7 linked regions of the Macaca fascicularis genome follow. The protein of the gene in region 4 interacts with the protein of the main gene of each other region in a biochemical or structural test. Links are inferred from orthologs where the notes say so. Each region holds a gene or a part of one and is shown on either strand. Other genes may lie near its edges. The genes, in order: MAP3K2, PGAM5, TLE3, XIAP, HTRA4, SEPTIN4 and CASP9.

Region 1 (3,500 bases), on a different chromosome or scaffold from region 4:
CATTTGCCACAATTAATAAACCAATACTGAAATATTATTAACCAAGTTCATACTTTGCTTAGATTTCCTCAGTTTTTCCCTAATACCCTTTTTCTGGATCCAGGATCCTAACCAGGATCCCACGCCATACTTAGTCATCATGTCCCCTCAGGCTCCTCTTAGGGGGGATACTTTCTCAAATTTTCCTTGTTTTTGATGACACGTGTTTTTCTGAGGTGTACTGGGGTCAGGTTTTCCCTAATTGAGGGACCAGTAGAATGTCCCTCAATTAGGATTTGTCCCATGTTCTCATAATGGGGGCTGTAAGTTTTTTGGGGGAAGACCACAGGTAAACTGCCATTCTCATCATACGATATTAAAGGCACATACTGTCAACACCATTGTTGATGCTGACCTTGATCACCTGGCTTGAGATAGTGTTTGTCAGGTTCTCCACTGTGAAGTCATTGTCCCCCACCCTTTCCATACTTTGGAAGAAATTTGCCACACACAGCCCACAGTTAAGGAGTAAAGAGTTATGCTCCAGGCTGAGTAGCTACATAAATTTGGAGTTATGCTGCAGAAGAGATTTGTCTCCCCTCTCCCACATATTTATTAAATCATTCATTTACATCACTATGAACATGGATATTTGTTTTATACACTGGGTTATAATCCAGTAATGCTTTATTCTCCTGCTATTTATCAGTTTCAGCCACTGGAGCTTCTTTCCACTGGCTCTGTGTCCCTTTGCCATACCCCCATCATTGTATTCTTGCTTTTGTTTTTGAGCACTTTCTTGCTTTCTGGCACTGGAAGATGCTCCAGGCTCATCTTGTATATTTCCTGCACCAGTCCTAAAATCAGCCATTTCTCAAGGAGGCCTAGTTCCTTTCAGTGGAGAATAGTATTAAAAAACAAGATCATCGGCCAGGTGCAGTGGCACACACATGTAATCCTAGCACTTTGGGAGGCAAAGGCGGGTGGATCGCATGAGCTCAGGAATTCGAGGTCAGCCTAAGCAACGTGGTGAAACCCCATCTCTACAAAAAATACAAAAAAATCAGCTGGGCATGGTAGTGTGAGCCTGTAGTCCCAGCTACTTGGGGGCTGAGGCTGAAGGATCACTTGAGCCCAGAGAGCTGAGGCTGCAGTGAACTGAGTTCATGCCACTGCACTCCCGCCTGGGTGATAAAGTGAGACTCTGTCTCAAAAAAAACAAAAACAAAAAACCAGAACAAAACAAAACAAAAAACCAAGCTATGGGCACTAGGCTAATTTGTTTTTTATTCTCTATTTTCACTCTTACCATTTTAAAAACTCTATTTTTTCTGGGATTATAAATCTAGTTTCTGTCTTTTATAAATCATTTCGCTTCTCATTTTTCTCCACATAACCTTCATTACTTTGGACCTTCTCATTTTTAACTTTTTCTTTACCTATTCTTAAATAAGCCATTTATTTTATTATCTAATTTTAATTATTTTAATTTTAAAATTTTACTTCATTTCTTATTTTTAAGTCTTCCATAACCTTAATCATATTTTATATTACAAAGATATTCATTTTCTTGGTTCTCTTACCCTTTTCTGAAAAAATGATCTCTAAGGAGGAGAGTGAATAGTGGAGAAAAGCTACTTTACAGACTGGAGAGGATAAAGAGACCCCACCCCTATCATGGGGCTTCCGTACCTGTCTTTCTGTTCTCCCAGCAAATTCCCCAGTCTAGTCAATGATGGTTCCCTAAAGCCTCTCTCCAGAGGATAGTCCAGAGTTCATTCTCTGCACACCTTAAGTGTAAACATGCCATGACATTAGTGATCTTCTAAAAAAGCACTGTCTAACATTTCCTACCATCCAATACTTTAAGAAAGACTGTCAAAAAAGCCACCATCTCTAGAATACTTAACCAGTGGAAGGACAACAAAGCCCATTTTTTACTGGCTACAAGCAGGGCTCTGATTGGGGAAGGAACAGTCCAAGGCAGGTCACAGACAGGGGAAGCTGTCTCTGGGGAGGAATCACCAATGTTGAACCAATGCTTACCCAGAAGAAGGGCTAAAGAGAAAATGGGTAGCCAGGCTCCAGCATAAGTTTCTAAAAACTTATTTTGGATGTGTCAAAAGTAAGTTATTAAGGAGACTTTTCAGACATACACAAAGGTAGAGCAGCATGCTCAGCCACCACCCAGCCTCAACATCCATCTGGATGACCCTGCCCCAGCCATACTGCCAACCACTCCTCCTCCCCTCTCTAGGATTTGAAGCACATTCAAGATGTCAGTTTGACATAGTTGGAGTTCATCAGAGCTCAGTTTGGGGTTCTTTTCTCCCCCCCTTCCTTCTTTCCCAAGCTAGTGACATCCATTCCTCCTAGCTCAAATTTGATCTCAAGATAAAGTATGTCATCATAGCTAACTTTTAAGAGCTTTTTAGGTATCAGGCACTACTTTAAGCATATTGCATGCATTAACTCATTTACTCCTTTAGAGAATCCTATGAGCTGGATACTGTTATCTCCATCATTTAAGAAAGAGGAACTGAGAGACTGAGTAACTTGTCCAAGGTCACACAGTGTGGATAAAGCCCGAATCTGAATCAGGCCACCTGGCAGCAGGGCTCCTACTCTTGGCCAGCCTGTCCTAATGCCTATGTAATATGTATGAAACATGATCTCACTTGTATGGTCTCTTAAACTTTACTGATTCTGTGAGCCCCCACAGTAGAGCTACCCATTTGGGGAGACAGGACTGGTGTGATAAAACACTGATGCAGTTCACAAGAAAGCAAGAGAACTGTTTCCCTGTTTCAGAGATAGATGAATTAATGTTAAATGTCTTATCCACATCACTTGTTTCATTCACATTCACAAAGAACTGTCTATTTAAAATAGAAAATACCTCATTACTTACCTTTGATATCTCTATGGACAATCATATTACTATGCAAATAATGGACACCCTCCAGAATCTGACGGGTGTATTTCCTAGTCACATTCTCAGTAAGAGCGCCATATGCTTTTAATTGGTCCTTAATTGAACCCTAGGAGAAAACAACAACAACAACTACTGTATATGGTTTGAAATGAAAACTGCTATTAAATCTTTATTGGTAAAGAGGCCAGGAATTCTCATCTCACTTGTCTAAGCATGTCCTACTTGAATTTTATTTATTTTGTTCTTATTCTGTTTTTAAAGTATTTTATTGACATCTGCTGATTTTCTCAGGAAAAGGAATGGGTATAACTAGAAAGAACATATATGACATTTTAAAGTTTTTTCTTTATATAAGAAAAAACTCAACACTCAAGTTCGAAACATGAGAACATACACAAAAGGAGAACTTCAGATTTTCTCAAGTGTTTTTTAGGGCAGGATAAGGTGCCATCTCTGAGAAAGCTGAATCAGTCTGAAGTGAGGCATAGGTATTTGAATTTTGAAAAAGCTTCCCTAGTGATTCCAATGTACAAGTTTGAGTAATCATCCCTTTAAAAGACAGAAATAAAATGCTTCCTGAGGGACA
Region 2 (4,292 bases), on a different chromosome or scaffold from region 4:
TTCACCAGATGAGGCTCTGGAACTTTACAGCGTGGACACCAGACTCAAGAGGAAACACGCTGTCTTCTAGCACCTTCCTGTAGTTGCTCATGCCTTCTGTCTGTACGAGTCTTTCCCAGCCCACAAGGCCCAATTCACTTCTCCCCAGACATGGCAAGCAAATACAGAACACCTGCTTAAAAGAGAAAGGCTGGGCTCAGTTCCTGGTTCTACTTCAAGTTTTTTTTTTTTGAGACAGAGTCTCCCTCTGTCGCCCAGGCTGGAGTGCAGTGGCACAATCTGGGCTCACTGCAGCCTCCACCTCCTGGGTTCTAGTGATTCTCCTGCCTCAGCCTCCTGAGTAGCTGGGACTACAGGTGTGTGCCACCATGCCTGGTTAATTTTTTTGTATTTTTAGTAAACACAGACTTTCACCATGTTGGCCAGGCTGGTCTCGAACTCCTGACCTCAAGTGATCCGCCCGCCTCAGCCTCTCAAAAAGTGCTGGGATTACAGGTGTGAGCCACTGCACCCAACCTACTTCAAGTTCTTTAACCTTAATCTCTTTCCTTAAAAAGGCCTAAGAAATTCAGAATATTTTACTGATTTTTAAAAAAGAATTTAATGGGCTGGGCATGGTGGCTCATGCCTGTAATCCCAGCACTTTGAGAGGCCGAGGTGGGTGGATCACCTGAGGTCGGGAGTTCAAGACCAGCCTGACCGACATGGAGAAACCCCGTCTCTACTAAAAACATAAAATTAGATGGCGTGGTGGTGCACGCCTGTAGTCCCAGCTACTCGGGAGGCTGAGGCAGGAGCATCGCTTGAACTCAGGAGGCGGAGGTTGCAGTGAGCCAAGATTGCGCCATTGCATTCCAGCCTGGGCAACAAGAGCGAAAATCCATCTCAAACAAAAAAGAAGAAAAGAAAGAAAAAGAATGTAACTCCCATCTAATCATGAGAAAATCTTCAGACAAATCTCAACTGAGGAACCTTCTATAAAACCCCTGACCAGGATGCGTCAAACAGTGATGATCATCGAAACAAGTCTGAGAAATTATCACCACCAAAACGTGCCTGAGGAGGCATGAAGATTGCTTGTCATGTGGGATCCTAGAACAGAACAGCAGGTAAAAGCTGAGAAAATCTCAGTGAAACATGAACCTTAGTAATAATGTATGGGTTACGGCTCATTAATTTTGATATATATACCACGCTTAGTGTATGATGCTAATAATAGAGGAAATAAGGTTAACAAAAGAAAAAAAAGTAATATAAAGTACTTAACACAACCACAGTAGTAAGTATAATTCTGTGCCCCTTTCTCAGAATACTGAGTATAAGGAGCAGTTAGGACTGGGCAAACCATCCTTGCCTCGAGAGCAGTCCTGGCCGACAGAAACAGAATGCCAGCAACATGTGAAAATTATAAATTTTCTAACGGCAACATTAAAAAGAAACAGGTGAATTTCGATCATACTTTTAATTCAATATGCTAAAAATACTATTTCAACACATAACCAATGTTAAAAACCTGCACTTTTTTTTTTTTCCTTTGAGACAGGCTCTGTTGCTTAGGCCAGAGTGAAGTGGCGGGATCTCGGCTCACACTGCAGCCTGGGACCCCTGGACTCAAGGGATCCTCCTGCCTCAGCCTCCCGAGTAGCTGGGACCACATGCGCGCGCCACCTCGCTCGGCTAACTTATTTTGTAATTTTTGTAGACATGGGGGTCTTCCTATGTTGCCCAGGCTGGTTTCAACTTCCTGGGCTCAAGCGATCCTCCGGCCTCGGCCTCCCAAACGCCCGGATTACAGGCGTGAGCTACTGCACCCGGCCCTGCTTAAGTTTATTTATTTTTGCTTGTTTGTTTTTGTTTTTTTGAGACGGAGTCTCACTCTGTCGCCCAGACTGGAGTGCAGTGGCGGGATCTCGGCTCACTGCAAGCTCCACCTCCCGGGTTCACGCCATTCTCCTGCCTCAGCCTCCCGAGTAGCTGGGACTACAGGCGCCGCCACCGCACCCGGCTAATTTTTTTGTATTTTAGTAGAGACGGGGTTTCACCGTGTTAGCCAGGATGGTCTCCATCTCCTGACCTCGTGATCCGCCTGTCTCGGCCTCCCAAAGTGCTGGGATTACAGGCGTGAGCCACTGCGCCCGGCCTGCTTAAGTTTAAATTGACGTAAACTAAGCATTCCCTTCAGGAATCACACGGGCCATATTTCAAACGCTCATTAACCGCACGCGGCTGGCGGGCGCCCTCCTGCAAACGCCCCTGGAGGAGGCCCGGCTTCCACCCCAGCCTCGCCCCGGCCCGCGCTCCGGCGACGGCACCCAGGACGGACTCGCAGGGGCGGAGAGAAGGGCGACGATGAGGCGGAGCTCGGCCCACAGAAGCCGGCGGGAAGGGCCCGCCGCCCCCAGAACCCTCAGCGCAGAGCGGCCCCGGAAGGCGGTTCCTTCGCCGGGGGAAGCGGACGGCGACCCCAGATCCCGACTCGATCGCAACCTTGAACCTGGTCCCGATCCCGATCCCAACGGTAACACCGGCCCTGACCCCCATCCCGACCCCAGGCCCGACCAGCCCCGCGCGCACCTGTCCCAGTTGGGGTCCCAGACGCCGGGGCCCGGCCGCGCGCCCCCCGCCCAGGCCGGCGGCTCAGCCGGGCGTGGCTCCGTGTCCCCGCCCGCGCGCGGCTTCCCTACCGCCACGGCCGAGAAGAGCACGGCGGCCGAGCCCCCTGCCAGCCCGCAGGCCGCCAGCTGCAGCGCCTGCCGGAACGCCATGCCGCCCGCTCCCGCGCCGGCCCGCGCAGGCGCCCACAGCCCCGACGGCGCTCCGCGAGGGACACGCTTCCGCGGGAGGCCGCTTCCGGGAAGCGGGGACGGAAGTCCCGCCTCCTGGGGCGCGGCGGGGCGCTGGGCAGCCTTCAGCGAAGGGGTGTTTTCGCGGAGCCGCCTGCCCCGTCACTCTTCCGTCCCGTCACTGGTGCTCGCGAACGCCGGTGCGCGCAGGTGCGGGCGGAGCTGTGGAGACGCCGGGAGGGCGGTGCGGTGCTTTCCAGAAGGTTCCGCACCGGAAGCCCTGCCCAGGCTCGAGGCTGGGTGCGGGGCGGAGACTCGGAGGAGAACTTGGGGCCCTGGTTTAAGGGAGCTGGGAAACCGCGGCAGGTTTGTTTAAAGGATATGTTTTTGGTGGCAGAACCCGAAATAAATTTTTCCGCCGGCGCCGTTCCTGCGTGTGCGGTTCAAGCGGCGTGAAGTGCGTTCAGGTTCGGCCGGGCTGTTACTTCTGGTCCCGGCCTCCTGCGGGATAGTCCCTCTGTGGCCGGCGCATTTCGCTTAGCAGGGTCCTCAGAGGAACCTCGTTAGAGCCTGGGTTTCCTTCCAGGGGGACCGGCGCTCCCCGTGTGGACCGACCCCACTGCTTACCCATTGCTGGACGCCTGTGTGGACCGACCCCACCGCTTACCCATTGCTGGACGCCTGTGTGGACCGACCCCACCGCTTACCCATTGCTGGACGCTTGCCCTGTCTCAAAAAAAATTAATAACATAAAAAAAGGAAAATTGGGCCCGGCGCAGTGGCTCACACCTGTAATCCCAGCACTTTGGGAGGCCAAGGTGGGCGGATCACCTGAGGTCAGGAGTTCGAGACCAGCCTGACCAACATGGTGAAACTCCCTCACTACTGAAAATACAAAAAAATTAGCCTGGCATGGTGGTGCGCGCTTGTATTCCCCGCTACTCAGGAACCTGAGGTAGGATAATCGCTTGAACCCGGGAGGGAGAGGTTGTAGTGAGCCAGGATCGTGCCTCTGTACTCCAGTCTGGGTGACAGAGTGAGACTCTGAAAAAAACAAAACAAAAAAATTGGCCAGGTTCAGTGGTTCATGTTCGTAATCCCAGCACTTTGGGAAGCTGAGGCGGGTGGATCACCCGAGGTCAGGAATTTGAAACCAGCCTGGCCAACATGGTGAAACCCCGTCTCTACTAAATACAAAAATTAGCCAGGCCTGTAATCCCAGCACTTTGGGAGGCCGAGACGGGCGGATCACGAGGTCGGGAGATCGAGACCATCCTGGCTAACACGGTGAAACCCCGTCTACTAAAAAAATACAAAAAACTAGCCGGGCGCGGTGGCGGGCGCCTGTAGTCCCAGCTACTCGGGAGGCTGAGGCAGGAGAATGGCGTGAACCCGGGAGGCGGAGCTTGCAGTGAGCTGAGATCCGGCCACTGCACTCCAGCCTGGGCGGCAGAGCGAGACTCCGTCTCAAAAAAAAAAAAAAAAAAAAAAAAATTAGCCAGGCATGAT
Region 3 (2,894 bases), on a different chromosome or scaffold from region 4:
GGACCTCCCTCTCGAGCTAAATGACCCCTCTGTGTGGAGAGAGGCCAGCTGTCCTTTCTAGTCATAAAGACTGGGCTGTATGCTGAGATTGTCATTCCTCTTTTTTTTTAATGTTAGATTCCCTTTCTTGTATGAAATGACAGCAGGCAATTGTGCTGATTGAGAATGACTTTGACAAAATAAGGAGTTGGAAATCATGTTAATCTCCAGTGCCCTGAGCGCTTTCGCTAATGGGTGCACGAAATCCAAGCGCCTGGGTACCGCCCCTGGGAATGGGCACCAGCATTCTCCTCTTCCCTCCCAGCCCCCAACTCCCTCCCTGGGGACAATGACCTGCATTTCTGGGTCTGCCCCTTCTGCAAATGCTTCCTTCTGAATCATCCAAAAACACGCCTTTGTGAACTAGAGATGGAAGATCTCCTTGTCCCACCTAAACATGTTAAGTTTAAAATAAAATGGTGCAGGTTTCCAGGGTCCAGATGCTCAAAGACACTTTGCAGTTTCGCTTCAAGTTCATTACATTTAATTTTTTTCCAAAAAAGTTTTGCATTGACAGCTGTACAATACTTTGGTGTTAACCTGTGGTCTTCCTTCCCCTCAGTGAACTCTGCCCTGTCCATCTGTCCAGAGGAAGTCTTAGCTCCTACCCCACACCCTCTCTGGCGCTTGGATGGGAGGTGACGCAGTGTGGGATTGTGAAACCCCCGCTGCGCTGTTGGGTATCTGGGGGGCGGGGGGAGCAGCGCGTGGGAATGCTGTGAGATAAGAAGAGCTCACATGGACGGGAAATGGCCCAGGCTCCAGAATGTGAGAGCGACACTGGCCTGGCTGTTTTCCTGCGGGGGGGACTGACAAACTGGGGGTTGAGGCAATTAAGACGCAACAATCAAACCAACCTTTAAATAGTAACTTTTAAAAATATAAAAACAGTTCAGTACAATGACTTTTCATTCTTTTTTTCTTCAGGAATAACTTTCTTCTACCCTCACCCTCCCTTCTGGCTAGAGCCTTAGCAAGAGGTGGCAGACGGACATCTGAGGCCCAGAGAGACTCCGGATGCCCCATGCGCCCAGCCTTGGAGAGGCACAGGGTGTGGCGCCAGCCTCCACATCCCATGCCCGGTGCGCTCAGCTGGGGAGCAACCTCACTGAAGGTGGGTGGCGTTCCCTGGAGCCCCTCCCTCCTCCTCAGCAGACGGAATCACGCATTACAAAATAATCCATAAAAATGCGGTATAAAAATTATCTTCGATATGCTACATCCATGGAGAGCCCGCCACCAGGACTCACAGCGGCCTTTAGCTTTTCTTTAAAAGAAGAATAAGAAAAAAAGACCAAAAGGAAAAGAAACAAAAAAACAACCCAAATCCTAACACCTCAGAACATGGTACCGAAAGGTGGCACCTGCCAGAGGCGATAGTCTACCTAACCTGTTTGGGCCACGAGAGACTGCAATCTGCAAGAAATATCCACAGTGTGCCAGATCTGTGTCCCCCTCTCCCAGCCCCCAACCCCCACTGCCCTGCCCAGGGCGGAGGTGAGGGAGATCCTCCTTTCAGACTCACAACCCTGTAGGTTTAAACACTTTCCCCCCTCTAAGGGGAGAGGAAGAGGCTGTAGGCAGGAAGGGGGAGAAGGCATTTTATAAAAGGACATCACTTCTAATTCTTTTTATTCAAATTAAAAAAAAAAAAAAAAAGCACCCACATCAGTTGCTATTTTTCTCTGGTAGCTCCCTGAGCTGAGTTGCTATGCTGTCTTCTAACTTTTTGTCCTTTTTAGGCTGTGTCCCAAGATTCAGAAGAGCTGGAGAGGGAGTTCCTTTGAACTTCCATTGCTCATAACAATAACTAAGTGTGCACCAAAGAGAAAGACCAGGCTGAGGAGGAGAGAGGGAAAGACCAAGAAAGAGAGACACAGAGAGGGCAAGAGGCAGCCAGAGTGCAAGAGACCACAGAAAGCTCTGTTTCTGCAGGCGTCTGCCCGAACAGGCCCCCATCTCAGTGCCTTCCATCCCTCAGTCTGGCCGGCTGGTGCTCAGTCCAGATGCCCAGACCCGTGTGGACGGACAGGCATTCCAGCAGGTACCTTGCGGCCAACCTGGTTGCCTTTTCCACAATCTAAGACTTTTCTCCTTATTCTTCAATTGGTTCCTCTCCCTGTCTCCTCTTCCCAGGTGAGAACATCTGTTTATTTAAAAAAAAAAAAAAAAAAAAGCCACCACCACGAGTGGATTACAAATACAGCAGGCGAAACACACGGTCAGAGTTTCCGGTGGGAAGGGGGCCTCTCCCACTGGTCAGTCCGCAATAGGAGAGTCTGTTATTTACATTTTTCACAAAACTTGTGCACTGCACAATCGGCAAAAAGAGACCCCCTCCCCCAGCACAACAATGTGGTCCACGCCAGCATCCCCGACCCAAGGTGGGGCACAGGGCAAAAGAAAGGGGAAGAACAAAGAGACTCATGAGCGGGTCTGTGGGGAACCGGAGCCATAAGCCTCCAATAAATCTATTTGTAGCAACTGCCAGCATTGTTCAGGGGGAGGAGGAGGAGCAGAACCCATCCGAGTCTGTGAGACACATCAATCTAGGCCCAGAAGTCCAGATCGTGATGGGGCACGCGCCCTCTCAGCCGGCCGGAGCGCAGCCCCGAACGCGCGGCTGCCTGCGGCCCATCCTCCGCCATCCTCAGGGCCCCTCGCCTGGGGGTCTCCCTGTCAGAGCCGAGTCGGTTTCTCCCAGAGTTTGACAGCCCTGCTGGAGTTCTTGTTTAGTAGATGACCTCATAAACTGTGGCCTTCTTGTCACCAGAGCCTGTTACAATGTATTTGTCATCCGCCGAAATGTCACAACTCAAGACAGACGAGGATTCTTTAGACTGGAGGAGGAAGAC
Region 4 (3,500 bases):
TATAGGCATGAGCCATTGCACCCGGCCCTTTTTTTTTTCTTTCTTTCTTTTTTTGAGATGGAGCCTCACTCTGTTGCCCAGGATGGAGTGCAGTGACATGATCTTGGCTCACTGCAACCTCCGCTGCCCGGGTTCAAGGGATTCTTCTGTCTCAGCCTCCCGAGTAGCTGGGATTACAGGTACCTGCCACCACGCCTGGCTAATTTTTGTATTTTTAGTAGAGATAGGGGTTTCACCATGTTGGCCAGGCTGGTCTCAAACTCCTGACCTCAAGTTATCCGGCTGCCTTGGCCTCCCAAAGTGCTGAGATTATAGGCATGAGTCACCGCACCCGGCCTATGCACCAGATATTTTTAAAAAACCAGATGTAAGACTTTACACTTACCCCTATTAAATGTTATCTCATTAGCCTATCAGGTAGCTTTGGTTTTTTACTTTTATTTTATTTATTTATTTATTTTTTTGAGACAAGAGTTTCGCTCTTGTTGCCCAGGCTGGAATGCAATGGTGCGATCTCCGCTCACTGCAACCTCCGCCTCCTGGGTTCAAGTGATTCTCCTGCCTCAGCCTCCCAAGTAGCTGGGATTACAGGCATGTGCCACCACGCCTGGCTAATTTTGTGTTTTTTAGTAGAGACGGTTTCACCATGTTGGTCTAGCTGGTCTCGAACTCCTGACCTCAGGTGATTTGCCCACCTTGGCTTCCCAAAGTGCTGGGATTACAGGCGTGAGCCACTATGACCGACTGGTTTTTTTCTTAAGACTAGTCAAGTGCAGAGTGAGAAGAGGGAAAAGAGTAGAACAAGGGGTTTGATCAGCCTTGGTTTCTTTGAATCTTGATTTTTGTCATTCGGTTTATTATGCTGATTCAACAAAGGGCCCTGAAGCTAATGTTGGAATGTTTTCAGACATCTAGGAAATGATAATTCATCAAAAGTCATGGAGACTATTCCAAAAGTTTTATGCAGATATAACTCAGCTGTTGAGGTATGAGTTAATACCACTATAAGTTGACATGGCCAGGAAAGACAAGTCCATTGCCAACTTGCTTTGTGTTGAACATTACTCCAAAAGAGATTAAATTCTAAGACATATTGTGTCAACATAAAGGCAAAAGAGCTGGCTAATTCTTCTCAAGAAATCAATGGCTCGACCTTTTGGCTCATGCCTGTAATCCCAGCATTTTGGGAGGCCGAGGCAGGGGATCACCTGAGGTCGGGAGTTCAAGACCAACCTGACCAACCTGGAGAAACCCGGTCTCTGCTAAAAAATACAAAATTAGCTGGGCATGGTGGTGCATGTCTGTAATCCCAGCTACTTGAGAGGTTGAGGCAGGAGAATCGCTTGAACCCAGGAGGCAGAGGTTGCAGTGAGCCAAGATCACACTATTGCACTCCAGCCGGGGCAACAAGAGCAAAACTCCATCTCAAAAAAAAAAAAAAAAAATCAATTAATGCACATATAATATAGAGACAGAGTCCTTGTTACCATTATTTTGCCTTTGACAAGTTTATATTGAGCACATTATCAGGCAATGTGGGAGATTCTGGAGAACCAGGTTTGCCTCATAGCTAGGGTTACCATATGCTCTAGTTTGCCTGGGGCAACCCTGATTTATGCCTGTTGTCCCAGTGTGATTATTGCTAGTGTGATTTTTCACTTTGAGAAGTGTCCAGGTTTGGAAGATAAATTATCTTGCTATCCTTCTCATAACCTAATGGGTTCTCTTTAGTATTTTATCTGGGTTAAAATTACACAGCTGTAATTTGGCAGCTCTAATAAGACTGCAACAATACTTATCTTCCATTTGAACAGATTGTTACTTGACCAAGGGGAAGTTTTTTTTTTTTTTTTTTTTTTTTTTTTTTTTTTTTTTTTTTGAGGCGGAGTCTCGCTCTGCCGCCCAGGATGGAGTGCAGTGTTGCGATCTCGGCTCACTGCAAGCTCGGCCTCCTGGGTTCACGCCATTCTCCTGCCTCAGCCTCCCCAGCAGCTGGGACTACAGGCGCCCACAACCATGCCCGGCTAATTTTTTGTATTTTTAGGTGAGACGGGGTTTCACCCTGTTAGCCAGGATGGTCTCAATCTCCTGACCTCGTGATCCGCCCGCCTCGGCCTCCCAAAGTGCTGGGATTACAGGCATGAGCCACTGCGCCTGGCTACCAAGGGCAGTTAATAGCAAAAGTAACTGCAGGGCACATGTATGTCATGGGCAAAAAAAAAAAAAAAAAAAGCAATTAAGGTTTGCAGGTACTTAGAGTTTCTCCTGAGCCACTCTCTAGAGGGCAGTATTACATATATATCTGTAATTATCCAGTTACAACAAAAAAGGGGATCTGGTTCATGCATGAAAATCAGAAATATTTCATACTCTTAAAGAACACATTGGAACCAATATTATGATTAAAACATATTTTGCTAAGCAAAGAAATATTAAAATTAATTCATTAACATTCTGAACATTTTTTAATTTGTAAAAACTGAACTTTGATGCCTTGAATATATAATGATTCATTATAACAATTACGCACAGACTTTAATAATCTGCATATTTTATGCTTCTTTCATGTTTTTCCTAATTAATGATTTGACATGGTTAATAATTATAATATATTCTGCATCACAGTTTACATATTTATGTAAAATAAGCATTTAAAAATTATTAGTTTTATGCTGCCTGCTTAAATATTACTTTCCTCAAAAAGAGAAAACAAAAATGCTAGATTTTACTTTATGACTTGAATGATGTAATGTTAAACCCTAGTATTTAGAATTAGAATGTTTCTTAGCAGTTGTGTAGTTATTTTTATGTCATAAGTGATAATTTGTTAGCTCCTATAACAAAAGTCTATTGCTTGTGTTTCACATTTTGGATTTCCTAATATAATGTTCTCTTTTTAGAAAAGGTGGACAAGTCCTATTTTCAAGAGAAGATGACTTTTAACAGTTTTGAAGGATCTAAAACTTGTGTACCTGCAGACATCAATAAGGAAGAAGAATTTGTAGAAGAGTTTAATAGATTAAAAACTTTTGCAGATTTTCCAAGTAGTAGTCCTGTTTCAGCATCAACACTGGCACGAGCAGGGTTTCTTTATACTGGTGAAGGAGATACCGTGCGGTGCTTTAGTTGTCATGCAGCTGTAGATAGATGGCAATATGGAGACTCAGCAGTTGGAAGACACAGGAAAGTATCCCCAAATTGCAGATTTATCAATGGCTTTTATTTTGAAAATAGTGCCACGCAGTCTACAAATTCTGGTATCCAGAATGGTCAGTACAAAGTCGAAAACTATCTGGGAAGCAGAAATCATTTTGCCTTAGACAGGCCATCTGAGACACATGCAGACTATCTTTTGAGAACTGGGCAGGTTGTAGATATATCAGACACCATATACCCGAGGAACCCTGCCATGTATAGTGAAGAAGCTAGATTAAAGTCCTTTCAGAACTGGCCAGACTATGCTCACCTAACCCCAAGAGAGTTAGCAAGTGCTGGACTCT
Region 5 (4,117 bases), on a different chromosome or scaffold from region 4:
CTGCACTCCAGCATGGGCGACAGAGGGAAACTGTTTCAAAAAGAAAGAAGAAAGAAAAGAAAAGAGAAGAAAAGAAAAGAGAAAAGAAAAGGTAAGGGATATATAGAAAGGCACTGAAGCAAATAAGAAGGAGTAAAGAACAGAAAGAAACCAGAGAAAAGCATATATTTGACAGAAAAGATGTGGTGTGAGAGTGTAGTGGGGCAGAAAATACCAGCAAATAGATAAAAATCTCCAAATATGCAGACTCTGACTCAGCCCTGAAATACTCACATTCGGTTCAATCTTAATCACCGCAAGATCCAATTTAAGGTCAATATCCTTGACAACGGCTTCATAACGGGCCCCATTCTGGAGCACCACCTCAATCCACTGCTGGTTCCTGACAACGTGGGCATTGGTAATAATGAGCCCATCCTCAGACACTATGAACCCAGAGCCACTGTACACAGGAACAGGCATCCTGCCGTGAAGTAACCTGTCTCCACAAGACAATAGTATAGACAGAGGGCAAGAAAGTTAGGGGATACAGCCATATCATCTGAGAGTCACGGGAACCTCACTCTTATTAAACATACCTCCATCACAGTTTTCTTTTCTTTATTTCTTTTTTCTTTTTTTGAGACAGAATCTCGTTCTGTTGCCCAGGCTGGAGTGCAGTGGTACAATCTCGGCTCACTGCAACCACCTCCCGGGTTCAAGCAATTTTCCTGCCTCAGCCTCCCGAGTAGCTGAGACTACAGGCATGCACCACCATGCCTGACTAATTTTTGTATTTTTCGTAGAGACAGGGTTTCACCATGTTGGCCAGGCTGGTCTCGAACGCCTGACCTCAGGTGATACACACGCCTCGGCCTTCCAAAGTGCTGGGATTACAGGCGTGAGCCACCATGCCCAGACTTCCATCACAGTTTTCTCAGACATTTCACTTTTCCCTGGCTATGCGTAAATTTTCTCCATGTATCAATGGACTTGGCACCCACAGGGCCCCAGCCATCTCTTGTGAGCATGGTTGAGAGCTGGCTCCAGCTCTCCTTTTCCAGGGACACTGCCTCTTCAGAGTTGGTTAGTGTAGCAGCCCATGGGTTCTCTGCTGCGAAAAGGCTGAACCCAATCCTAATACTAGAGGCAAAAGTAAGAGCCTCGTACCACAGTGTCAAGGACCCAGGCAGGAGAGAATCAAAGGGCTCTGATTCTGGCTTAGTTTCCACCACCAACTGGCCTCGTAACATAGGACAAATTAACCCTGCTCTCTGGGTCTGGATTTCCTTGCCTCCAAAGTGGGGGCTGAGCAAGATCACAACCAAAATGCCTACTAAGCTGGATGTGGTGGCTCACACCCGTAATCCCAGCACCTTGGGAGGCTAAGGTGGCAGATCGTTTGGGTCCAAGAGTTTGAGACCAGCCTGGGCAATACAAAAATACCTTGTCTCTCCAAAAAATACAAATATTAGCTGGGTGTGGTGGCACCTGCCTATAGTCCCAGTTACTCCAGAGGCTGAGGTGGGAGGATTACTTGAGCCTGGTAGATGGAGCTGCAGTGAGCCATGATCTGTCATTGCATTTCAGCCTTGGCGACAGAGCAAGACCTTGTCTCAAAAAAAGAAAAGAAAATGCCTACTAGCTCTTACATCTGACCTTAAATTTTGTCTGTGGCAGGACGGAGAAAAAGCACCAGCCACCTAAGTGGGCAGGGGGAGCTCGGATTTGGAAGTTATCCTTGTGCCTCTGCTCTTTGGTTAAATGACCTTGAACAGGTTATTCAACCTCTTTATGTCTCAGTTTCCTCACTGGTGTTTTAGGATTAAATGACGCTTGCGAAGGGTCTGGAGTAGGTAGGCACGCAGAAACCATTAGCTGGGACAGTGGAGGTCTTCCTCCTCCTCCTTTACCTGCCCCACAGCTGCATGTGAACCACCGATGGCGCCACCTTCTCCACCACCGCGGCGATGAAGTTGTAATTCCTCCTGAGCGGGCCTGCCCTTCTGCTCCCTATGAAGAAATACTGGGTCAAGAGTACGCCTCGAGCGAACCAGACCTGCTATCCTAGTTGGGAAAATGTTAAAGGCAAGTCAGTGTTCAAAAGGTGCATGGTGAGGGAGAATCCACGTAGCAGAAGGTAAAGAGCCCCTGTTATGGAGGAAAGGAAATCAGGAACAGAGAGGGGTCGAATCCAGGAGGCAAATGACGCAGGAGGACCCCGCGCGAACTATGCGATCTCAGTGAGGTCTTGTTCCTTTACGCTCCTCCAGAGTTAGAAAGTGTCCCCAGGGTGCGCGCCCCCCGCGGCTCACCTGTATCCCCGCAGTCCCCCCACTGCACAGGCACGGCCGAGATATTGCCCAGGCGGCGCGCGGCCCGGTTTTCGGTCCGGAGCGCACACAGGCTAGGGTAGGTGCGCCTGTCGCTGCCGCACACGGCCACTCCCTTCGTCGGGCAACCGCAGGTGCTGGGGAGCCCGGGGCGCAGCGGCTTGAGGCACTGCAGCCCCGGGGCGCACGGCTGTCCCTGCGCCCCGCCGCAGACTTGACCCTCGGCCGCGGGGCAGACGCGGCAACAGCGGCACAGGTCGAGCACCGGCGTGGTCCCCAGCGAGCAGGTGGGCAGCGCGGGGCAGCGCGTGGGCTGGCAGACCGCGGGGCAGGCCAGCTGGGTATGTAGTCTCTCAGCCCCGGCCCAGAGGACCGGCACCAGGAGCAACAGCAGCCCTGGCAGGAGGCATCGTCCCAGCCCCGCGGGCCGCAGCTGAGGTCTAATCATCCTGCTCCTTCCTTCCTCGCTTCCACTCTTCAGTGACTTCACTCTGGACCTGCAAACGCTCCTAAATGAGAGACACTTTCTCCCGGCCATGGCGCCGCCTCCGCCGGCCCCCAAACTTTAAGGGGCAGAGCCTGGCATACCTCTCCACATACACACCCGTACATCCCCTACCACCCGCCCCTGTCCGCTCCCCGGAGCCAGGTTCTCCCCCAGGCAATGAGGGGAAGGTCTCTAGCCCTACCCGGAGGAGGAACCTACCTCCTGAAATCCCTAAAACAGACAATGGGGGCAGACTGATCGCGGTACTTATATGACAGTGCAAGCGGAGCAATGCCGAGGTTGTGAGTTCGATCCTCACCTGGAGCACTTTTAATATTTATATAGGCGGGTAGTCGTGGCCGAGTGGTTAAGGCGATGGACTTGAAATCCATTGGGGTTTCCCCGCGCAGGTTCGAATCCTGCCGACTACAGTTTTGGCCGGGCGCGGTGGCTCACGCCTGTAATCCCAGCACTTTGGGAGGCCGAGGCGGGCGGATCACAAGGTCAGGAGATCGAGACCACGGTGAAACCCCGTCTCTACTAAAAATACAAAAAATGAGCCGGGCGCAGTGGCGGGCGCCTGTAGTCCCAGCTACTCGGGAGGCTGGGGCAGGAGAATGGCGTGAACCCAGGAGGCGGAGCTTGCAGTGAGCCAGGATCGTGCCACTGCACTCCAGCTTGGGCGACAGAGCAAGACTCTGTCTCAAAAAAAAAAAAAGAAAGCTCACCCACCCGTGGTCAGAAGGTACTAGAAAAACACATGGCCATATTTCAGTATTTCACATGGTTTTATTACAAAACAAGCCACAAAACAGTTTTAGAAAAGTTTTGCTACATACCAATTAGGAGATCACATAAAATGAGAAGCGTAACAGTTTCCATGCACTCAGCCTAGTGCTTACTGCCAGTGCATTTCACAGCTGAAACATCACTGCTTTAAAACACAGAATCATGCTACCCCTTCATAAGCAGAGGGGGAGGAGGTCAAACAGTATGTTTTTGCCAAACATTGCTTTATCTGAACTCTATCTAGTATAAAGGACTGGCTGCCGCAGGCAATAACACAGAGAGGGAAAAGGAACAAAGGAAGAAAACGATGCTGGCAGACAAGATTTAACAAACCTGTCCACTTCCAACATGTCTAAAGTTTATAAACAAAGCTCACTTGGGGACACTCAATTTCCAAAATGCTGTGACCTCCACATATGTTATCTGATTTACGCTGAAAACAAACCTACTAAATTCTACCCCTCAACTACTGAACCTGCTATTTATTCATGGGGTCCTTTTAGCCCATATAAGAGTATATTTATACTCA
Region 6 (3,283 bases), on a different chromosome or scaffold from region 4:
CCATTCTCCTGCCTCAGCCTCCCGAGTAGCTGGGACTACAGGCGCCCGCCACCTCGCCCGTCTGTATTTTTAGTAGAGATGGGGTTTCACTGTGTTAGCCAGGAGAAGTGCCCCAAATTTCTAATCCGTTAAGCCAGGACTTTGGTAGCCCCTAAGGTGTGATGGAGACTCTGGACAGAACCACCTGTTGACCTATCCAGGACCCAAATATGCACCAGAGCCAGGGATATTTCTGTTACCAAAGGTACTGTATGTGTGAAAGATGGAGAGAGACCCAGACCCCAGATAATAGAGGCATGATAGATATGATCGTTAAGATGGAGAAGCCAGCCTGGATTCTAAGCAGGGACTTAGAAGGGGAAACGAAGTGGAAAGTTTCCCCACTCTCCCTTCCCTACTAAAAGCCAGAAACCAACATCTTCTCCCATTAGCCTTTCAAAACTGGGTCCCAGGGTCTTGATCTCCAGGAGGTCATAAAAATACACACAGGGACACCAGAAGCCACCTACAGATTTATTAAACTTTATTTCCTCTGAGTCTCTGGGCAGTCAGCAGGGATGTAAGGCGAAGTGGCAGTAGCTGAAGGGGCCTGAGCAGAGCTGGTGCTGGGAGGGGCTGGCATGGACAGGAAGAACAGGAGGAGATTTAAATATCCAGGGCTGAAAGCCAGTTAATAGGTCTCCTTCATCTGTTTTTGTATTTTGTGTAGCATCTCCTGCATCCGCCGCAGCTGGAATAGGCACAGGCATCAAAATGCGGCCTTCTGAAGAGTCCTTTAGTGTTGGGGAAGTGCCCCAAATTTCTAATCCCTTAAGCCAGAACCTTGGTAGCCGTGAGGTGTGATAGAGACTCTGGACAGAACCACCTATTGACCTATCTAGGACCGAAATATGCACCAGAGCCAGGGATCTTTCTATTACCAAACAAAGAGATACCAACGTTGGTGATCAAACAGGGGACCTCCCCTACCCATACTGCTCTCACCTCCTCATCTTTCTCTCGGATAAGCTTCTCAGTTTCTGGATCTGTCCCTGGTGGGACAGCAGGGATGGGGAAGTCGGTACCACTCTCTCGAGTCAGTTTGCTAAGGGGAGAAAAGGGTTGATAAGGCTAGGAGGACTCCAGCACCCACTTAGATTAAGCCCAGGGCCTATAGAAGAACAAAAGTAGGGCTTGGTCTCACCCAAGGCTAGGCTTGGGATCTCCCCCTGCCAGCTTTGTCCTGGCTTCTGGTCATACTTGCGATTGCGTTCCTTTACCACCAGGCGGGTCATGCTCTGGATGCACTGTGCCCGGTAGTTCTCATAATGTGTCTCCCGCGTCACATCCTTCAGGTCCTGCATGTGGGTACGTACCAGCATTGTCCTCAGCTTCACAAAGTCGCAGTGCCCTGGGTTTTCCACTGCATAGCAAGGCTAGGGGTCAGCCAGAGGCATAGGTAGGGGAGAGCCACAGAGGGCAAGGAGATACCCTGGTTACAGGCTCAGTGCTTTACCTTCCACGATGCCCCAGGGGTAGAGTCGACCCCGAACTCGCCGCCCTCTGGCCTCTACTACAGTGTTGCTGCCAATTACTGCAAATGGGATGCTTTCCTGGAAGAGGTTAGGGGTGCCTGTCAGCACCCTCTGTTCTCACCTCTTTCTTTCCACCTGTATCGTCATCTTCTCTGCTTCACTCTAGGAAGCCAGGGTCCTTTCCACCCTGATAGCCTGAATATAGAATTCTACTCCCTTTTTCTACCCAGAAGAAACAAGATGGGAAGGGGATGCCCTAGAGTGGCCCCACCTTTAGGGCTTGGTCCTGCAATTTGAAGTCCTCATCCTCGTCAGAGTCACAGTCTGGGAACTGATAGATCTTGATTCCAAAATGCTCAATCTCCTCCCGGATCTGACAAACAGATGAGGGGCCCACAGTTCTGGGGACCACGTCCTTTCTAGAAGCCCACCTGATCCCCTCCCACCACCAGCTTCCCTCACTTTGCGTTTCTTTCGGTCCACTTCTGGAGGTGTCAGTGTGTCTGCCTTAGCCAGGATAGGCACGATGTTGACCCGCTGATGCAGGGCCTTCATGAATTCAACATCCAATGGCCGGAGCCTGGGGAACAGGAATCTGTGACCACCTGCTAATGGCAGCCCTGCCCCTGGTGCTCTTGGCCTGTTCCCTTGACAGCACCCGGTGGTGCCAGGAGCCTCAGGCTTGGACCATACCCGTGGCCGAAGGGTGAGATGAAGTACAGGCAGCAGTGCACCCTGTTGTCTTGGATGTTCTTTCGGTTCAGGCCACTCTCATCTCGGAAATACTGCTCAAACTGCTGATCAATGTATTCTGCCACAGGCTTCCAGCTGGGGCAGGGACAGACAAGCAGAGAAACTGTGAGAGTGGGAGCCACCTAGTGAGCTCTGGGACTACAGAGAAGTAGTAGCCCACTCTCTGAGCAGTGTTTTTAAGACATTGTTATTCCCTGGCTTACTTTACTAAATCTTTAGGGAAATTCCTGAATGGGATGGGGTGTATCTCACATGTCCTGATACAAAATTAGACTGAGTACTCAGGCAAGTTTAATAAATGCTAGCTTGATGAGAGGGAAAGGGCCCAGGTGATCAAACAAAGCAGTAAGAATAGGCTGGACACGGTGGCTCACCTCTGTAATCCCAGCACTTTGGAAGGCTGAGGCGGGTGGATCACTTAAGATCAGGAGTTTGAGACCACCCTGAACAACATGGTGAAACCCCGTCTCCACTAAAAATACAAAAATTAGCTGGGCGTGGTGGTGTGCACCTGTAGTCCCAGCTACTCGGGAGTCTGAGGCAGGAGAATTGCTTGAACCCAGCAGGTGGAGGTTGCAGTGAGCCAAGATCATACCACTCCAGCCTGGGTGATGCAGCCAGACTGTCTCAAAAAAAAAAAAAAAAAAAAAAGAATAGCAAGGTGGCTGCAGGCAAATACCAACTGGAAGCCAGGGAAACTCTAATTCAGGTTTCCAGTGTAACCTCAGAACCTCTTTGCTCATGTGTTTCTACCCTTTCCTCTACCTCCAAACCCACTCCATCCTTCAAGGCCCTAAGAACCATCTCTTCCATGAAGGCTCCTTTTACTATACCAATACACACTGCTCCCCCCTTGTCTTCACTACAGAGCAAAACAAATAAATAAATTTCCCCCAAGAACCTCAATTTTCATATCCTTTGTTCTTCTATTATCTTGTTTAATCCTCACTGCCCTGACAGGTCGACATTATGCATTATGATCATCATCACTATCATTTCATACATGAAGAAACTAG
Region 7 (3,500 bases), on a different chromosome or scaffold from region 4:
TTTCTGACTTTTGTTTTAATGATGGAAATCTACATTATGCCAAATTTGGCTCATAGTTTTTTTTGGTTTTTTTTTTTTTTTTTTTAGAGACAGGGTCTCACTCTGTCACCCAGGCCGGAGTGCAATAAGGCAAACATGGCTCACTGTAGCCTCGACATCCAGGGCCCAAGCAATCTTCCTGCCTAAACATCCCAAGTAGCTGGGACCATAGGCACACACCACCACACCTGGCTAATGTTTCAAAATTTGTTATAGAGACTGGTCTCAAAGTCCTCGTCTCAAGAGATACTCCCACCTCGGCCTCCCAAACTGTTGGGATTACAGGCATGAACCACATAGATGCTTTTATATGGTTCTCCTTTAAATTCAAATTAGAATTCACATGAGGTGCAACGGGACTGTGGGCTCTGTGCCAGGCTGGGGGCCTGGCTGTGGGGTAGGCCTTGCCCTCTACTCGGAGCTGACCAGGGGACAGACCTAGCTCAATACAATGAGACAGTGCTATGGCAGGGGAGGGACAGAGGCTGCAGGAGCACAAAGGCCAGCTAACCCTGACTTTGGCCAAGAAAGGGGGTGTTTAGGGAAGACCTTCTGTAGGTGGTGACAATAAATTGTAACCAGAAGGATGGATGATTAAGAGTCAGCCAGGTGCCAGGCACGATGGCTCATGCCTGTGATCCCAGCACTTTGGGAGGCAGAGGTGGGAGTATCACTTGAGCCCAATAGTTCAAGACTAGCCTGGGCAATATAGTGAGACCCCCATCTCTAAAACAAAATAAGTAAAAATGAATTTTAAAAACAGAGTTAGCCAGGGGATCAGGTAGAAGAGCAAGCAACAGCCTGGACATCCTGTGAAGGCTGGGCCATGCTGGGGGACTTGGAGCATGTCAGGCTGGGGGAGGTGAAATGGCAGGGGCCAGGTCACCAAAGCCCTTGGAAGCCCTGCTACTGAGTCCTAAGAGTGACAGCAGATATTCAAGTGACAAAGGCCCTCCGCTGTTGAGACTGAGACTGGATGGGGCATGGGAGGAGCACAAGAACAGCTAACCGTCCAGAAAGCAGGTATGCCCGCTCAGCCTGCATTCCTAATTCCCTTGCCCTTTCTGTCTTTCATTTGATTCATACGAGAAAGCGGGAGCGCAGGCTCCAGAGGAAGAGCATTGCTGGACCACACACTATGGACAAGACAGGAGGTGAGGCAGAGCAGGGTTTCTATAGCCCCGAGAGTGGCAGCCTTCCTTGCTTCCTATTACTGCTGTCCTGAGGCAACTGTGCTGGCGGCAGTGGGGTGGGGGGCTCTTATGTGTCACTGGGTACTCCGGGGTGGGAGTGGGGAGCAGTCTGGGTTTTCAGTTATTAAAATGAATCAGTCACTGTACACACACCAATTAGTGCATTAAATATTATTAAAGTTGCCCGGGCACAGTGGCTCATGCCTATAATCCCAGCACTCTGGGAGGCCGAAGTGGGCAGATCACTTGAACCCAGGAGTTCAAGACCAGCCTGGGCAACATGGCAAAACCCTGTCTCTACAAAAAAAAAAAAAGAAAAATCAGCTGGGTGTGGTAGTGGGCAGCTGTAGCCCCAGCTACTCAGGAGGCTGAGGTGGGAGGATCACCTGAGCTTGGGAGTGGGTTCTGTTATTTTCCCCATTTGCTGAGATGTCTAGAGATGAACTGGCCTAGGATTATGTGATAGACAGGTCAGTAGCCGATCCAGGGTTTAATCAAGTGTTCTCAATCACTTGTGGTCAAGTTATGGGCATGGGTTATGACAGTGATTTAATACAGTTCATGTCAAATTATAAATTCCAGGAGACTGAAACTCTGTTTTCCCCTATCCCCAGCACCTAACACACAGCCTGGTATATACAGCTGGTGCTCAGTAAACACCTACTGGATGAATGATGTGACCAGAGGCTGCTCTCCTAGGTAGCCTCCACCCAACTCTGCCAACGTGGAATAGGGATGGGGCAGTTGGATGTGCGCAGGAGAAATACACCACAGGTGCCCATGTCACAGCTGGACAAGCTGGACAGCACTATGGTGTAACAGTGCCTGCTTCTCTGGCAGATCAGGCTGGAGGCAAGGAACTGATATACGTTCTGAATGTCCCAGTCTGTGGAGAGTCTAGGGCAGAGGGGACTCCCTGGGACAGAATTTCTAGTGCTCCCTGATATTCCTGTCATGACCCACAAGCCAGGAATCCCCATGTTTCCCTCTCTTCCCTCTTTTTTATAAGAAAATCAGGTAACACTGTAGTAGGAGTTAAGTTTAAAATCAGAGCATATAGCAAAACTACAAATAATCCAAGTAATTCTTTAAAAAAACAAAACAAAAATAGAGACAGGGTCTCGCTGTGTTGCCTAGGCGGGTCTCGAACTCCTGGCTCAAGCAATTTTCCTGCCTTGGCCTCCCAAACTGTTGGGCATGAGACACTGTGCCCAGCTCAAGTAATCCCTAAACATTCCTCGAACCCCCACAACTACGCTTTTGAAAATTCCAATAATTAAATTCTTTGGTTTCTCCGTGCAGTTTAGCTGTGGCCACCCTTTCTCTGGGATAGTGGAAACGGGGTTTGGTTGATGGAGGTCAGGGGAATGGTGACAAGAAAAATAAAAAGAGGTTTCTCCTCTCTCTTCTGTTTAGTTTCTTTTTTGCCAAGTCTCTGGAATTGAAGCTGCCAAAGTTACACGAGCCCATGATGCCACTGTGCCACGAAACTGAAGACTCCAACCTCTACAGAGCCGACAGAGCGGGGCCTGCTCCAGCCAGGCAGAGGTGCTGCCAAAAACGGACCACGTGTGGTACCCTCTGACTGCCTGGAGAGACCTCGTGGGCTCTGTGAGGGGCAGGCTGGAGAAAGAAGCAGGTGGTGGCTCCCTGTTCATCAGACCCACCCAGTGGGAGGCCAAGGAGCTGCTTACCCCCACCACAGGCCTGGATGAAAAAGAGCTTGGGCTTCCCTCCCAGGCTGGGGCAGCTGGTCCCATTGAAGATGTTCACAATCCTCTCGACCGACACAGGGCATCCATCTGTGCCGTAGACAGCCCCTGGGAACTGCAGGTGGCTGGCCTAGAAGACCAAGAACCCTGGTTACAAAACCAAGAAGTTGGAGTAGGAATCCAACAGCCTGTTCAGAAGTTTTGTGGGGGCCAAGGATTTGGAAGGTCAAAGCCAGGGGCATGAGGCTGATTGAGACAGAGCAGGTTGGTTCTAGAAAGACCCTAGTCAGCATCTATTCCAGGGGTCTCATCTCAAACTCATGTGCCTCTAGGGGCCAGACAGTGTGCCTGGAGAGTGCTGGCTGTGGCCTCTAGACCAGTGGTTCTCAAAGTTTGGCCCCTGCAGCAGCAGCATCGATATGGCTTGGGAACGTGTAAGAAATGCAATTCCCGGGCCCCACCCAGACCTCCTAATCAGCAGTCTGGTCCTCCAGGCCCCTCTGACTGAGGCAGCTCAATGCTGAAAGTGGCTGCTTTAAATCAATTCAGCTCAAAC

The links.
Region 1: of the proteins of XIAP (region 4) and MAP3K2, one has a biochemical effect on the other in vitro, tested with the Homo sapiens proteins (2 studies listed by BioGRID, with this or other methods). The link is inferred for Macaca fascicularis from reciprocal best matches to the Homo sapiens genes XIAP and MAP3K2.
Region 2: the proteins of XIAP (region 4) and PGAM5 form a complex in vitro, tested with the Homo sapiens proteins (2 studies listed by BioGRID, with this or other methods). The link is inferred for Macaca fascicularis from reciprocal best matches to the Homo sapiens genes XIAP and PGAM5.
Region 3: of the proteins of XIAP (region 4) and TLE3, one has a biochemical effect on the other in vitro, tested with the Homo sapiens proteins (2 studies listed by BioGRID). The link is inferred for Macaca fascicularis from reciprocal best matches to the Homo sapiens genes XIAP and TLE3.
Region 5: the proteins of XIAP (region 4) and HTRA4 form a complex in vitro, tested with the Homo sapiens proteins (2 studies listed by BioGRID and IntAct, with this or other methods). The link is inferred for Macaca fascicularis from reciprocal best matches to the Homo sapiens genes XIAP and HTRA4.
Region 6: the proteins of XIAP (region 4) and SEPTIN4 form a complex in vitro, tested with the Homo sapiens proteins (4 studies listed by BioGRID, with this or other methods). The link is inferred for Macaca fascicularis from reciprocal best matches to the Homo sapiens genes XIAP and SEPTIN4.
Region 7: the proteins of XIAP (region 4) and CASP9 form a complex in vitro, tested with the Homo sapiens proteins (12 studies listed by BioGRID and IntAct, with this or other methods). The link is inferred for Macaca fascicularis from reciprocal best matches to the Homo sapiens genes XIAP and CASP9.

The regions. Positions count from the first base shown.
Region 1 is NC_088386.1:4,230,352-4,233,851, reverse strand, and holds part of MAP3K2 (mitogen-activated protein kinase kinase kinase 2), read right to left. Parts: intron 3,021-3,500; coding exon 2,891-3,020; intron 1,770-2,890; coding exon of another isoform or gene 1,723-1,769; exon of another isoform or gene 1,589-1,722; intron 1-1,588. UniProt on the Homo sapiens protein: Component of a protein kinase signal transduction cascade. Regulates the JNK and ERK5 pathways by phosphorylating and activating MAP2K5 and MAP2K7. Plays a role in caveolae kiss-and-run dynamics.
Region 2 is NC_088385.1:139,825,960-139,830,251, reverse strand, and holds the start of PGAM5 (serine/threonine-protein phosphatase PGAM5, mitochondrial), read right to left. Parts: upstream 2,801-4,292; 5' UTR 2,766-2,800; coding exon 2,575-2,765; intron 1-2,574. UniProt on the Homo sapiens protein: Mitochondrial serine/threonine phosphatase that dephosphorylates various substrates and thus plays a role in different biological processes including cellular senescence or mitophagy. Modulates cellular senescence by regulating mitochondrial dynamics.
Region 3 is NC_088381.1:46,846,964-46,849,857, forward strand, and holds the end of TLE3 (transducin-like enhancer protein 3), read right to left. Parts: intron 2,880-2,894; coding exon 2,772-2,879; 3' UTR 501-2,771; downstream 1-500. UniProt on the Homo sapiens protein: Transcriptional corepressor that binds to a number of transcription factors. Inhibits the transcriptional activation mediated by CTNNB1 and TCF family members in Wnt signaling.
Region 4 is NC_088395.1:130,112,987-130,116,486, forward strand, and holds part of XIAP (E3 ubiquitin-protein ligase XIAP), read left to right. Parts: intron 1-2,900; 5' UTR 2,901-2,932; coding exon 2,933-3,500.
Region 5 is NC_088382.1:42,378,548-42,382,664, reverse strand, and holds the start of HTRA4 (serine protease HTRA4), read right to left. Parts: upstream 2,801-4,117; 5' UTR 2,761-2,800; coding exon 2,295-2,760; intron 1,993-2,294; coding exon 1,893-1,992; intron 479-1,892; coding exon 274-478; intron 1-273. UniProt on the Homo sapiens protein: Serine protease.
Region 6 is NC_088390.1:48,192,036-48,195,318, reverse strand, and holds the end of SEPTIN4 (septin-4), read right to left. Parts: intron 2,343-3,283; coding exon 2,208-2,342; intron 2,095-2,207; coding exon 1,977-2,094; intron 1,888-1,976; coding exon 1,786-1,887; intron 1,593-1,785; coding exon 1,496-1,592; intron 1,403-1,495; coding exon 1,240-1,402; exon of another isoform or gene 1,085-1,239; coding exon 985-1,084; intron 731-984; coding exon 671-730; 3' UTR 501-670; downstream 1-500. UniProt on the Homo sapiens protein: Filament-forming cytoskeletal GTPase. Pro-apoptotic protein involved in LGR5-positive intestinal stem cell and Paneth cell expansion in the intestines, via its interaction with XIAP. May also play a role in the regulation of cell fate in the intestine.
Region 7 is NC_088375.1:219,615,784-219,619,283, reverse strand, and holds part of CASP9 (caspase-9), read right to left. Parts: intron 3,075-3,500; coding exon 2,927-3,074; intron 1-2,926. UniProt on the Homo sapiens protein: Involved in the activation cascade of caspases responsible for apoptosis execution. Binding of caspase-9 to Apaf-1 leads to activation of the protease which then cleaves and activates effector caspases caspase-3 (CASP3) or caspase-7 (CASP7).